Linked DNA regions of Tribolium castaneum. The protein of the gene in region 1 binds, or shares a complex with, the protein of each later gene. Links are inferred from orthologs where the notes say so. Each region holds a gene or a part of one and is shown in the gene's direction. Other genes may lie near its edges.

Region 1 (3,315 bases):
GCCGCCAGTTTGATTATTAAAGCCTTGAAAGAGCCACCAAGAGACAGGAAGAAGCAAAAGAACAGTAAGTGGTTTTATTTTTGTGAGTGCATCTGTTAAGAACAACAAATTGATTTTGGTTTGTTGATATTAACAAGGTGCTAAATCAGCTTGCCCTTAATTGCAACCCATGCTTACGAATTACTAAGTATGTTACTCAAGGGGGCGTACAGAATAATTTTTATTTTTTTGGACATTATCTAACGTTTCGTGTTTTTGTAGTTAAGCACAGTGGCAACATTACTTTGGACGATGTTATCAGCATTGCTAGACAAATGAGGCCAAGATCAATGGCTAAAAATCTGTCTGGAACAGTTAAGGAAGTTTTAGGTACTGCCCAGTCTGTAGGTTGCACCATAGATGGGAAGCTCCCACATGACGTTATTGACGAAGTGAATGATGGCTCTGTAGAAATACCTGAAGAGTAAATTTTATAAAATAAACTTTTCTGATACATTTTTTTATTATTAATCTGTCCAAGTCACTAGCACATTTAAACCCTTTTCAACGATTTCCTGTCTCCCCGCTTTAGTTATAATTTCGCCGTTTTTCTTAACTACGATTAAGTTCGGGATAGTTGTAATCCCGAAAATTCTACGAAGTTGTCTGCAAAAAATTGTTAAAACTGTTCCATAAAGGAGTAATTTTTTTATACTCAGCCAAATCGTCTTGGTAGGGAACAGCAAACCATCCACCTTGTGTTTTATAAAACGCGTCAAAGTCATCAAGAGTTGTGTCAGATGAAACATAAATCACCTCAATGCCCATATTTCTGCGAAGATTTTCCTGTTTAAGTAAAAGTTTACAAGTGAAGCAGACGTCGGGGGCTTTTTACGTACCTACCTTGTGAAGCTCCTTCAATCTCTGAAGGATTACTTTGCAATCTGCTGATTTACACCACATAGCTCCAAAGAAAAATATTATAATCGTCTTATTCTTCATTGCTTCTTCTGCAGGGATTAGCTTTTTTATTTTATTCACTAGTTGCTTGCCTTGGAGAAGGTCCATTATCTGGCAATTCGATGACATCTTGCGAGTTTGTGATCGACAAACTAATTTTGATTCAAACGTGGCGCCATTAACGTAAAACGCGTAACGTAATTTCGGTAAGGGCGAAGCTTTTTAAACGATAGCTTTTTATTTATGTTTGTGATATTTATGTTTGAGTTTTTTTGTTTAACTATCTTCTATGTAAAGTTGGAATAAAATATTACTGTAGTTTACATATTTGGTTTTTCGTTAGTAGCAATTCGCGGAAATCCGATTATGACTAACAAAAGTCAATAGTTATGGTGCACCACAATAAACATTGAAAACGTTGTAAAATAGTTATTTTTCGGTAATTAATTAATATTGTGACTTAGTCTAACTTAAAAAAAATGGATGATGAAGCTGAGACCTATAAACTGTGGCGAATTCGTAAGACAGTCATGCAGGTACCCGCCCTAACCTCACATTCCCACTCAACCTAAGCAATTTTTCCCAGTTATGCCACGACCGGGGCTATTTAGTAACCCAAGACGAGTTGGACCAGACCTTGGAACAGTTCAAAGAGCAATGCGGCGACAAACCTAGCGAAAAACGGCCGTCTCGTAACGATTTAACAATTCTGGTGGCTCACAATGATGATCCCACCGACCAAATGTTTGTTTTCTTTCCCGACGAGCCCAAAATTGGCATAAAAGCAATTAAAACGTATTGTCAGAGGATGCAAGACGAGAATATTCATAGGGCCATTATTGTGGTCCAACAAGGCATGACACCATCAGCCAAACAATCACTGGTGGACATGGCCCCCAAATACATATTGGAACAGTTTTTAGAGTCCGAATTACTGATTAATATCACCGAACACGAACTGGTCCCCGAACATGTAGTGATGACACCAGAGGAAAAGCAGGAATTGCTTACTAGATAGTGTGTATTTAATTAGGGTTTTTGTGGGTATTAAAATTTTAATTTTCTCTTGCAGCAAATTGAAGGAAAATATGCTGATGAGGATACAGGCCGGCGACCCCGTGGCGCGATACTTCGGCCTGAAGCGCGGACAGGTAATAATGCACTTTTAATTTGATTATGTACGAAGTGATTCAGAAAGACTGTTTAAGTTGGTAACGGATTTTTGTTAGCGGTTTGGAACACTGCGCTGGATACAGTATTTTTGTAATATTATTAGGCGGTCATGATTTATCATTTAAAAATAAAATTCAGAATTCAATTGTGAATCAAACAAAAAAAATAATAAAGGAAAAGGTTGTTTCACCATGTTGCCGGTTTTATTTCAGCGATGTATGAAATTGAATAATGAAAGGAATTTCCACTGTCACCTGATGGTAAATTCGGTTCAATAATGCTAATTTATTAAGGGAAATAATGTTGGTGTCGTTGGGCGCTTTTTACGGCGTGAATGGTGGCTAAAGTACCGGTTAAAAGTAATAACCGGCGTATAACATTTTTTTATGGTTGTTTCCGAGGTGTGTTTCCCTGTGAAACATGCGGGTTATAATGCAAATAAATTACGTTGTGTTCTTGCTTTGTTGCAGGTGGTTAAAATCATTCGGCCATCGGAAACCGCCGGACGTTACATTTCCTACAGGCTTGTCTGCTGAACTAATTTAAATTTAAACCGTCACATTGTCGTCGGAGGGAGGCGAGCTGTACTCTTTTTATGTATTTGAATATGTGCTTGATGATCAATAAATTTTGTATTTGAAATGATTAAAAAGTGCTTTTCTGCTGCCCTTATTGGATATCGCTTTCCGGTAGTGGCTGTAAATAATTGAAAGGGCTGTAGGTTGGCGTCGGGGTGATTGTATTCATTGATTAACTATTAAAGATGGTTTGCATAATTCGGTGTGTATACGGGCGGCCGAGGACTTGTCAGCCACCGCCGAATATTGATCTTGGCTCCCGGCTTGCCTGCCTCTGTCTGTCTGTTTTCCGATGTCATTCTCATGCAAGTATCGCCAATCAATGCGGGCGGACGCAATTACGCGATTTTCACCATTGGCCACCGAACCTCGGCGACAGCGGAGCGAACTTAGTCGCTGCGACAGTGCTGTTTGACTACCGACGCCGATGATGCGACCAGCGACGTGGAAAACTATGTAGATAGAAACCGAAATTTAACGTTTCATTTCATTTACGGCGTGGGACGAACATTTTAGGCGATTATTTTTCCTTTTTGAAATAACTGCGGTTGCCACCTTTTCAAATTAACTCTATTACACTGTACAACAATAACATGTTTAAATTATTTTTTTGTATTCTTTTGGT
Region 2 (2,509 bases), about 8.7 Mb from region 1:
CTTTCGATTGTTTGGCGATCGTTTTGTGTTTTTCATCGTCGCCGATTGGGCACGCGCAGCGCACGGTGTGATAAATACAAATTACATACTTCAGACGAGAAACTCTCATCTAATTATTGATTTCTCACAACTAATTTTAATTAATCAATCCACTTACCGCAAATTATTAATTAAACTTGAATTTGGATGCGTCATAGTGACAATGACAGGAATGACAGGGAAAAACAAACGCCAACTATGTTAAAAAAATTTATTCAATTTAATTCATTACAAAGCTAAACCTTATTTATTTCCTGCAACTTCTCGTCCTGGTATTTGTAGTGCAAGTCCATACAGTCGTTGTTATCAATATGCACCCAGCCGGTCGGCTTCATATGGTACACCCTGACGATACCACCAGAATAGGCGTCCCGATGGGTGGCATGGTAAATCGACCGGCGCCCCAAATCATACGCCTCCTCATCCGTCAAATCCCACTTGTACCCCGAATCCAGGACGCCAAACGCATAAATGGAGCCCGAGCCAACACTGAAGACTTTCCCAGGGGTTCTGGTCCCCTCCGAATCCACGTAATACAGCTGGGGCCCCTGAACAACAACACTGATCAAGCGGTCTAACTTGTTCAAATAAATACCCTTTTGTCCCATCCTGCCAGCATCATGCCCATTGACAGCCCCATCCCCTTGTAATTATACACCATGTTGGCCATCAGTTTCGAGGCGGCTGCGACCGAAATCCGCTCCCGGTTGCGTAATTCGTACATGCGGCACTGCTTAGCCAGGACGCGGTCCCAATACACACAGTCAGCGGCGCCCCCGGCCAAAGTCCCCAGGAGAAAATCATTGATTTCGACGATTTTCTTCATGGTTTGGGAGCCGATGAATTGGCCCCCCGTGGCTCGGGAGTCCACGGCGAGCACTACGCCCCCCTTGTACATGAACCCCAGCGTGGTGGTGCCGTGGTCAAACTTGATTTTGATGTCCCGACCTGACTCGTCCTTCGAGAAGTAGGCCAGGTTCTCGGCCGGCTGTCACAAATTTGTTATCTGGGGGTATTTTCAAGGGGCTACTTACGTTAGAATAGGGGGGTACGCTGAGCAAAGTGTTGTGGGTGAAGTTGTTGCTCATTTTGGCGATTTCGTTGTCGAAGGGGGCTTCGCGTCTGAAGGTGTCGAAGTCCGACATTCCGCAAATCTCGGCTAAAGCCATTTTGGGGCAGTTTTGTTTGGTTCAAATGACGGTGCGAAAACACAACTAGCACCTAACCTCTAATGTCAAATGGATGATGGTGGTGGTTATGGTGTGTAAAGTTACGTCTTGTTGTGAGAAAATGTCCCAATTCCAAGACGTGCAAAACCAGAAATCGTTTCAATACTTATACGAGGTGGAAACTCTAGCGCAAGACATTTTAACTGAAAAAGAAACAAAGTTGGATTTGTCCAATTCCAGGAATAAGTTTAGGGAAGCCCTGAGGGCCCTGGAGGGCACAGAGGACCGAAGGGCTTGGATGCAGCTCGGTTCAGTTTTTATTGAACGACCGACTAGTGAATGTAAGGAGATTTTAAAAACAGGTCCGCAAAAAATATTTTTTTTACAATATTCTGACCAAAGTTTTTTAGAAATTGCAAACGCTGATAAGGATATTTTAGAGTTGGATAAAAATATTAAGAGCAAAATCCATAAATTAAGGGATTTGGAACATGAACCAAGGTTAGAGGGCTTCACCTTGAAACCCATTTCCTCGGCAGAGGCTAAAGCGTTACATAAAGCGTTCGGTGCAGTGTAAATTAATTAAGATTTTGTCAGTCCCAAGTCCACAATTAAATAATTGTAAATACAAACGTTTCTCAAATTTATTGTTTGACACTTCTGACAGTTTAACCGGTTGAATCTAACCTCACCTTTTAATTTTTAATTCGATTTACGTAAAATTTCAAATGAAAGTTGCGGCCGGCTTTGTGATTTATAAAAAGGCCTGCGATAATATTTTGTATCTTTTATTGCAAACTTCGTATGGCGAACACCACTGGACCCCTCCTAAAGGTAACCTTCAGTTTTTCCTTTCAAAAATAATAATGTTTTGTCAGGGCATGTGGACCCTGGTGAGACTGAGATGGTGACTGCCCTTCGGGAAACGATGGAAGAGTCCGGTTTGAAGCAGGAAGATTTGAAAATCTTCGACGATGTGAAGAAAATTTTAAATTACAACGTAAAGGGGAAACCCAAGAAAGTTATTTACTGGCTTGCCGAACTCACAAACCCCAAGGCTGAGGTGAAATTATCAGAGGAGCACCAAGACTTCAAGTGGTTGAAACTCGACGACGCTTGCACTTATGCAAAATACGCCGACCTCCAAGAGTCGCTCCAGTTTTTCGATAATTATATACGTTCCAACAAAAACTAATTATTGTTATATATTATTAAATAAAAAAATAATAAAATTAATTATTCAATGTGCAACCTTAGCCACTTCCATGTATTTGCGCCGATGAGTCATCTGGCAGATGGCG
Region 3 (3,523 bases), on another chromosome or scaffold:
GGGTTGTTAAAAGTTCAAAAAAAATCCTTATGTTCGATTTTTTAATATTTGATTTTTTCAATTTTCGTCGCAGTTTTTGTCGGTTTTGGGTACCCGGAACATTTCTCGAGCAATAGCTCCGGAACTATTAGAGATAACCCCATGAAGTGTATTATCGTTGGAAAGCTCTTTTAATTGTCTATCTTTTTCAAAAAAGATCTTTGCTCTCCGACTAATAGTTTTCGAGAAAATTGCAGATAAATGCAAAAATTGGTAAAATTTTAAAAAATTCGTAACCAAAAAACTAGTGGGAATTTGGCAATTTTCTCGACGCCAATCGATTCCCTGGATCATTTTGCATAGGTAAAGATCAAAACAGTTCCCCTTTTTCGAATAGTTTAGTCGTAATTGAGAATATAATAAAAATTAAAAATAAATTAAGACCTCCCTCCCCTCCAAAATGGCCATTTTTAAAAGTGTCTCAGAATCAAATAACACTTATCCTTTCTTATAGATTTTGATGTGCTCTTTACGATGGAAAAAAGAGTTTTTTCCTAGCTCTTTTAGTTTGGCCGTAATCGGCGATTGAAAATTATAAAACTTTTTGCGAGATATCGCTTTGAGTCCTATGCCATTTTGTAGAGTTTTTATTGCGCTTTTCTACAATTCTTCCGTTTTTAGATAACTCTAATAATTTCGCCGTAATCGGCAGTTGAAAATGGAAAAAAAGCGAAGATGGAAACTTTATTTGCGTTTTTCTCGGAAACTCTAAGACTTAGAGAATCAAACTAAAAAAACGGATGGCGCTTAAAATTATCTATTTTTTCGTCCAAACCCGGAGCTGCTCCGGGCAACGGTTCCGGTTACAGAGGCAATTAAAGTTTTACACTAAAAAAAATCATAACCCAAAAAGTAAAAGTCGTTGGGCAATGCGGTTTGTTTCATTTTCTTTGTTATACCAGCTTTTTTTACGAGATTAAAAATTTTGATTTTTTTTGCTAAATTCTGCTATATCGTAAATTAACTTAATTTTTGTATTTCGCGGTAAAATAATTCGGGCAGCCATTTTGTGCTTTAGTCAACCCACAATACACCACTTTTTTACTATTTTCTTATTGCTTAAATCTCTTTTTTGTACCCATAAAAACCCCACGACTCACTAATCACCATACGACTTTTTTGTCGTGGTAGTAATTTTTTGTGATAAGAATTGATAAAAACTCTTCATTCCGGCGCTTGCGCACTATCCCCGATCGCGTCCTGCCGTTACCCCAAAATTTTCCTCATCTCTCGCCTTCATTTTCCATCAAAATGTCGGCCATCTGATTTCCCTAACCTCAAAAGTGCATATGTGCGCGTAAAAATGCCATTATCGCCCGTTTCCACTCTCGGAAACCGTTCATAATCAGCTTAACGTAGTGTGGTGCGCCCCCAAGGCCATGTCGAACTCCCTGTGCAAGACTTCGGTGCTCCGCATCTACCAGGAGGTGATCGACGACGTGATCAGCGGCGTCCGCGAGATCTTCCTGGAGGACGGCGTCGACGAGCAGGTCCTCCAGGAGCTGAAGCAGACCTGGGAGACCAAGCTCAAGGCCAGCAAGGCGGTGCAGAGCGAGGAGGAGAAGGCGAAGAAGGCGGAGATGACCGCCACCAACGGCTTCCCCAAGCAGCATGTGGCGCAGCCGGCGGCAGCCCCCGTGGGGCAGATCGCCGAGACGAAGATGGTCCCCATCCAGATCACGCTCCCGGCGCAGCCCGGCAGCGACCAGGGCCCCAGGATACTCACGATACAGGTCCCCGCCACGGCGCTCCAGGGGAACCAGCTCCAGAAGGTGCTCACGGGGCAGATCATCACGGGGATGATGAATTTGCCCGCCAATATTGCGTCTTCGGTGCTCCAGCAGCACGTCAACGCGGTGTTTAACAGGTAGTCAGTTAGCCCCCTTTTAACTTAAATCGTCCACGCAAAATGTTTTCGGGTCACCCTGTACAAAGAAAAATACATGTTTTGTGCACACTTATGCAGATATTTTTGTCAATAATTGTTTTAAAAATTTTCTAATTATTGTTTAAAATTTTATCGGATTTTTAATAATGTTCTCTTCGGAATAAATAAAAAAGCTTGTAATAATTGTAGTTTTTTGTTATGAGATAACGTGTTTTTAACAGCCAGCAGCAGCAGATCGTGACCATTGTCAACCGAAACATCGCCCAGACGGACGGAAGCCACGCCGAGGAGGAGGAGGAGGAACAAATCGAAATCGAGTTTATTTTGCCTAGGAAGAAGGTGCCCCAGGTGGACGGCCCCGTGGACACGTCCGACGACGATGAGGACGGGTCTGACGACGATAACGACGACGAGGATATCGATGACGATAAGGACGAAGAGGATCAAGAAATGGAGGAAGAAGGTGGTGAAGAAGAGCCCCTGAACTCCGAAGACGATGTGACTGATGACGACCCAACTGATTTGTTCGATACTGATAACATCGTTGTTTGTCAGTACGATAAAATCATAAGAAATAGGAATAAGTGGAAATTTTATTTGAAAGATGGGATAATGAACTTGAGTGGACAAGATTATGTCTTCCAAAAGGCTAACGGTGATGCGGAATGGTAATTAGTGTTTTTTAAGAAGTTTTGTTTTTTTTTTATTATTTTCAAGTCACTTGCACGCAAAACCCGTCACTTATTCAAGGGAACGTTGGGTTCCGACTTAAGTTATTGAACTTTTGTATGTAAAATGGGAGAATAGCCTGAGTTGTAGAATTGTGTTATCCATTATAAATGTAACTAATAATAGGCGTTTAGATTTAATCGAAATTTTTACTATGTATTATCAATTATCGATAGCCGTTTGTGAATAAAACTATTTTTGAAGTTACACCATTGGTCGTTTTTCTAACACCTGGAAGATGACAAAAATCGCAAATTAGCAGCTCTTTTGAAAAAAAATCATAACTCAAAAACTAAAAATCGTAGAGCAATGCCTATAATGGAAAATTATATTCAACAAAAAAATTCATAATTCGAAAACTAAAAGTCGTAGAGCAGTGCGGTTCGTTCCATTGGATTCAGCGCCTTTTTTTCTCTATTATACTAATTTTTCACGCAATTTAAAATTTTCAATTTTTTTGCTCAAATTTCCTGAGTTATACACTTACTTACCTTCAAAGAGGTGAAAAAAAATTTTTTTTAAACTAACTCCAGCAAATTTTTATGGACTTCTACATGTCTTAACAACTCACAAAAGTTGTTAAAAGTCCACAAAAAGTCCAAATGTTCGATTTTTTGATGTTTGATTTTTTCAATTTTCGTCGCAGTTTTTGTCGGTTTTGGGTACCCGGAACATTTCTCGAGCAATAGCTCCGGAACTATTAGAGATAACCCCATGAAGTGTATTATCGTTGGAAAGCTCTTTAAATTATCTATCTTTTTCAAAAAAGATTATTGTTCTCCGACTAATAGTTTTCGAGCAATTTGCTGCTAAATGCAAAAATTGGTAAAATTTTAAAAAATTCATAACTAAAAAACTATTGGGAAT

The links. The genes of interacting proteins can lie anywhere in the genome.
Region 2: Polr2E (region 1) and Pdrg1 share a complex: the UniProt entries of both Homo sapiens proteins name them as parts of the PAQosome complex. The link is inferred for Tribolium castaneum from reciprocal best matches to the Homo sapiens genes POLR2E and PDRG1.
Region 3: Polr2E (region 1) and TfIIA-L share a complex: the UniProt entries of both Homo sapiens proteins name them as parts of the TBP-based Pol II pre-initiation complex. The link is inferred for Tribolium castaneum from reciprocal best matches to the Homo sapiens genes POLR2E and GTF2A1.

What each region holds. Positions count from the first base shown.
Region 1 is NC_087396.1:14,244,038-14,247,352, forward strand, and holds Polr2E (DNA-directed RNA polymerases I, II, and III subunit RPABC1), read left to right. Parts: upstream 1-1,308; 5' UTR 1,309-1,418; coding exon 1,419-1,475; intron 1,476-1,525; coding exon 1,526-1,956; intron 1,957-2,011; coding exon 2,012-2,090; intron 2,091-2,582; coding exon 2,583-2,648; 3' UTR 2,649-2,764; downstream 2,765-3,315. Other genes in the region: RpL12 (large ribosomal subunit protein uL11), read left to right, coding at 1-64, 262-467. UniProt on the Homo sapiens protein: DNA-dependent RNA polymerase catalyzes the transcription of DNA into RNA using the four ribonucleoside triphosphates as substrates.
Region 2 is NC_087396.1:22,907,693-22,910,201, forward strand, and holds Pdrg1 (p53 and DNA damage-regulated protein 1), read left to right. Parts: upstream 1-1,281; coding exon 1,282-1,570; intron 1,571-1,618; coding exon 1,619-1,785; 3' UTR 1,786-1,849; downstream 1,850-2,509. Other genes in the region: Pgi (glucose-6-phosphate isomerase), read right to left, coding at 1-109; Prosbeta5 (proteasome subunit beta type-5), read right to left, coding at 276-587, 635-1,027, 1,074-1,208; Datp (bis(5'-nucleosyl)-tetraphosphatase [asymmetrical]), read left to right, coding at 1,937-2,042, 2,087-2,403. UniProt on the Homo sapiens protein: May play a role in chaperone-mediated protein folding.
Region 3 is NC_087395.1:25,200,869-25,204,391, reverse strand, and holds TfIIA-L (transcription initiation factor IIA subunit 1), read left to right. Parts: upstream 1-1,209; 5' UTR 1,210-1,418; coding exon 1,419-1,906; intron 1,907-2,148; coding exon 2,149-2,599; 3' UTR 2,600-2,863; downstream 2,864-3,523. UniProt on the Homo sapiens protein: TFIIA is a component of the transcription machinery of RNA polymerase II and plays an important role in transcriptional activation. TFIIA in a complex with TBP mediates transcriptional activity.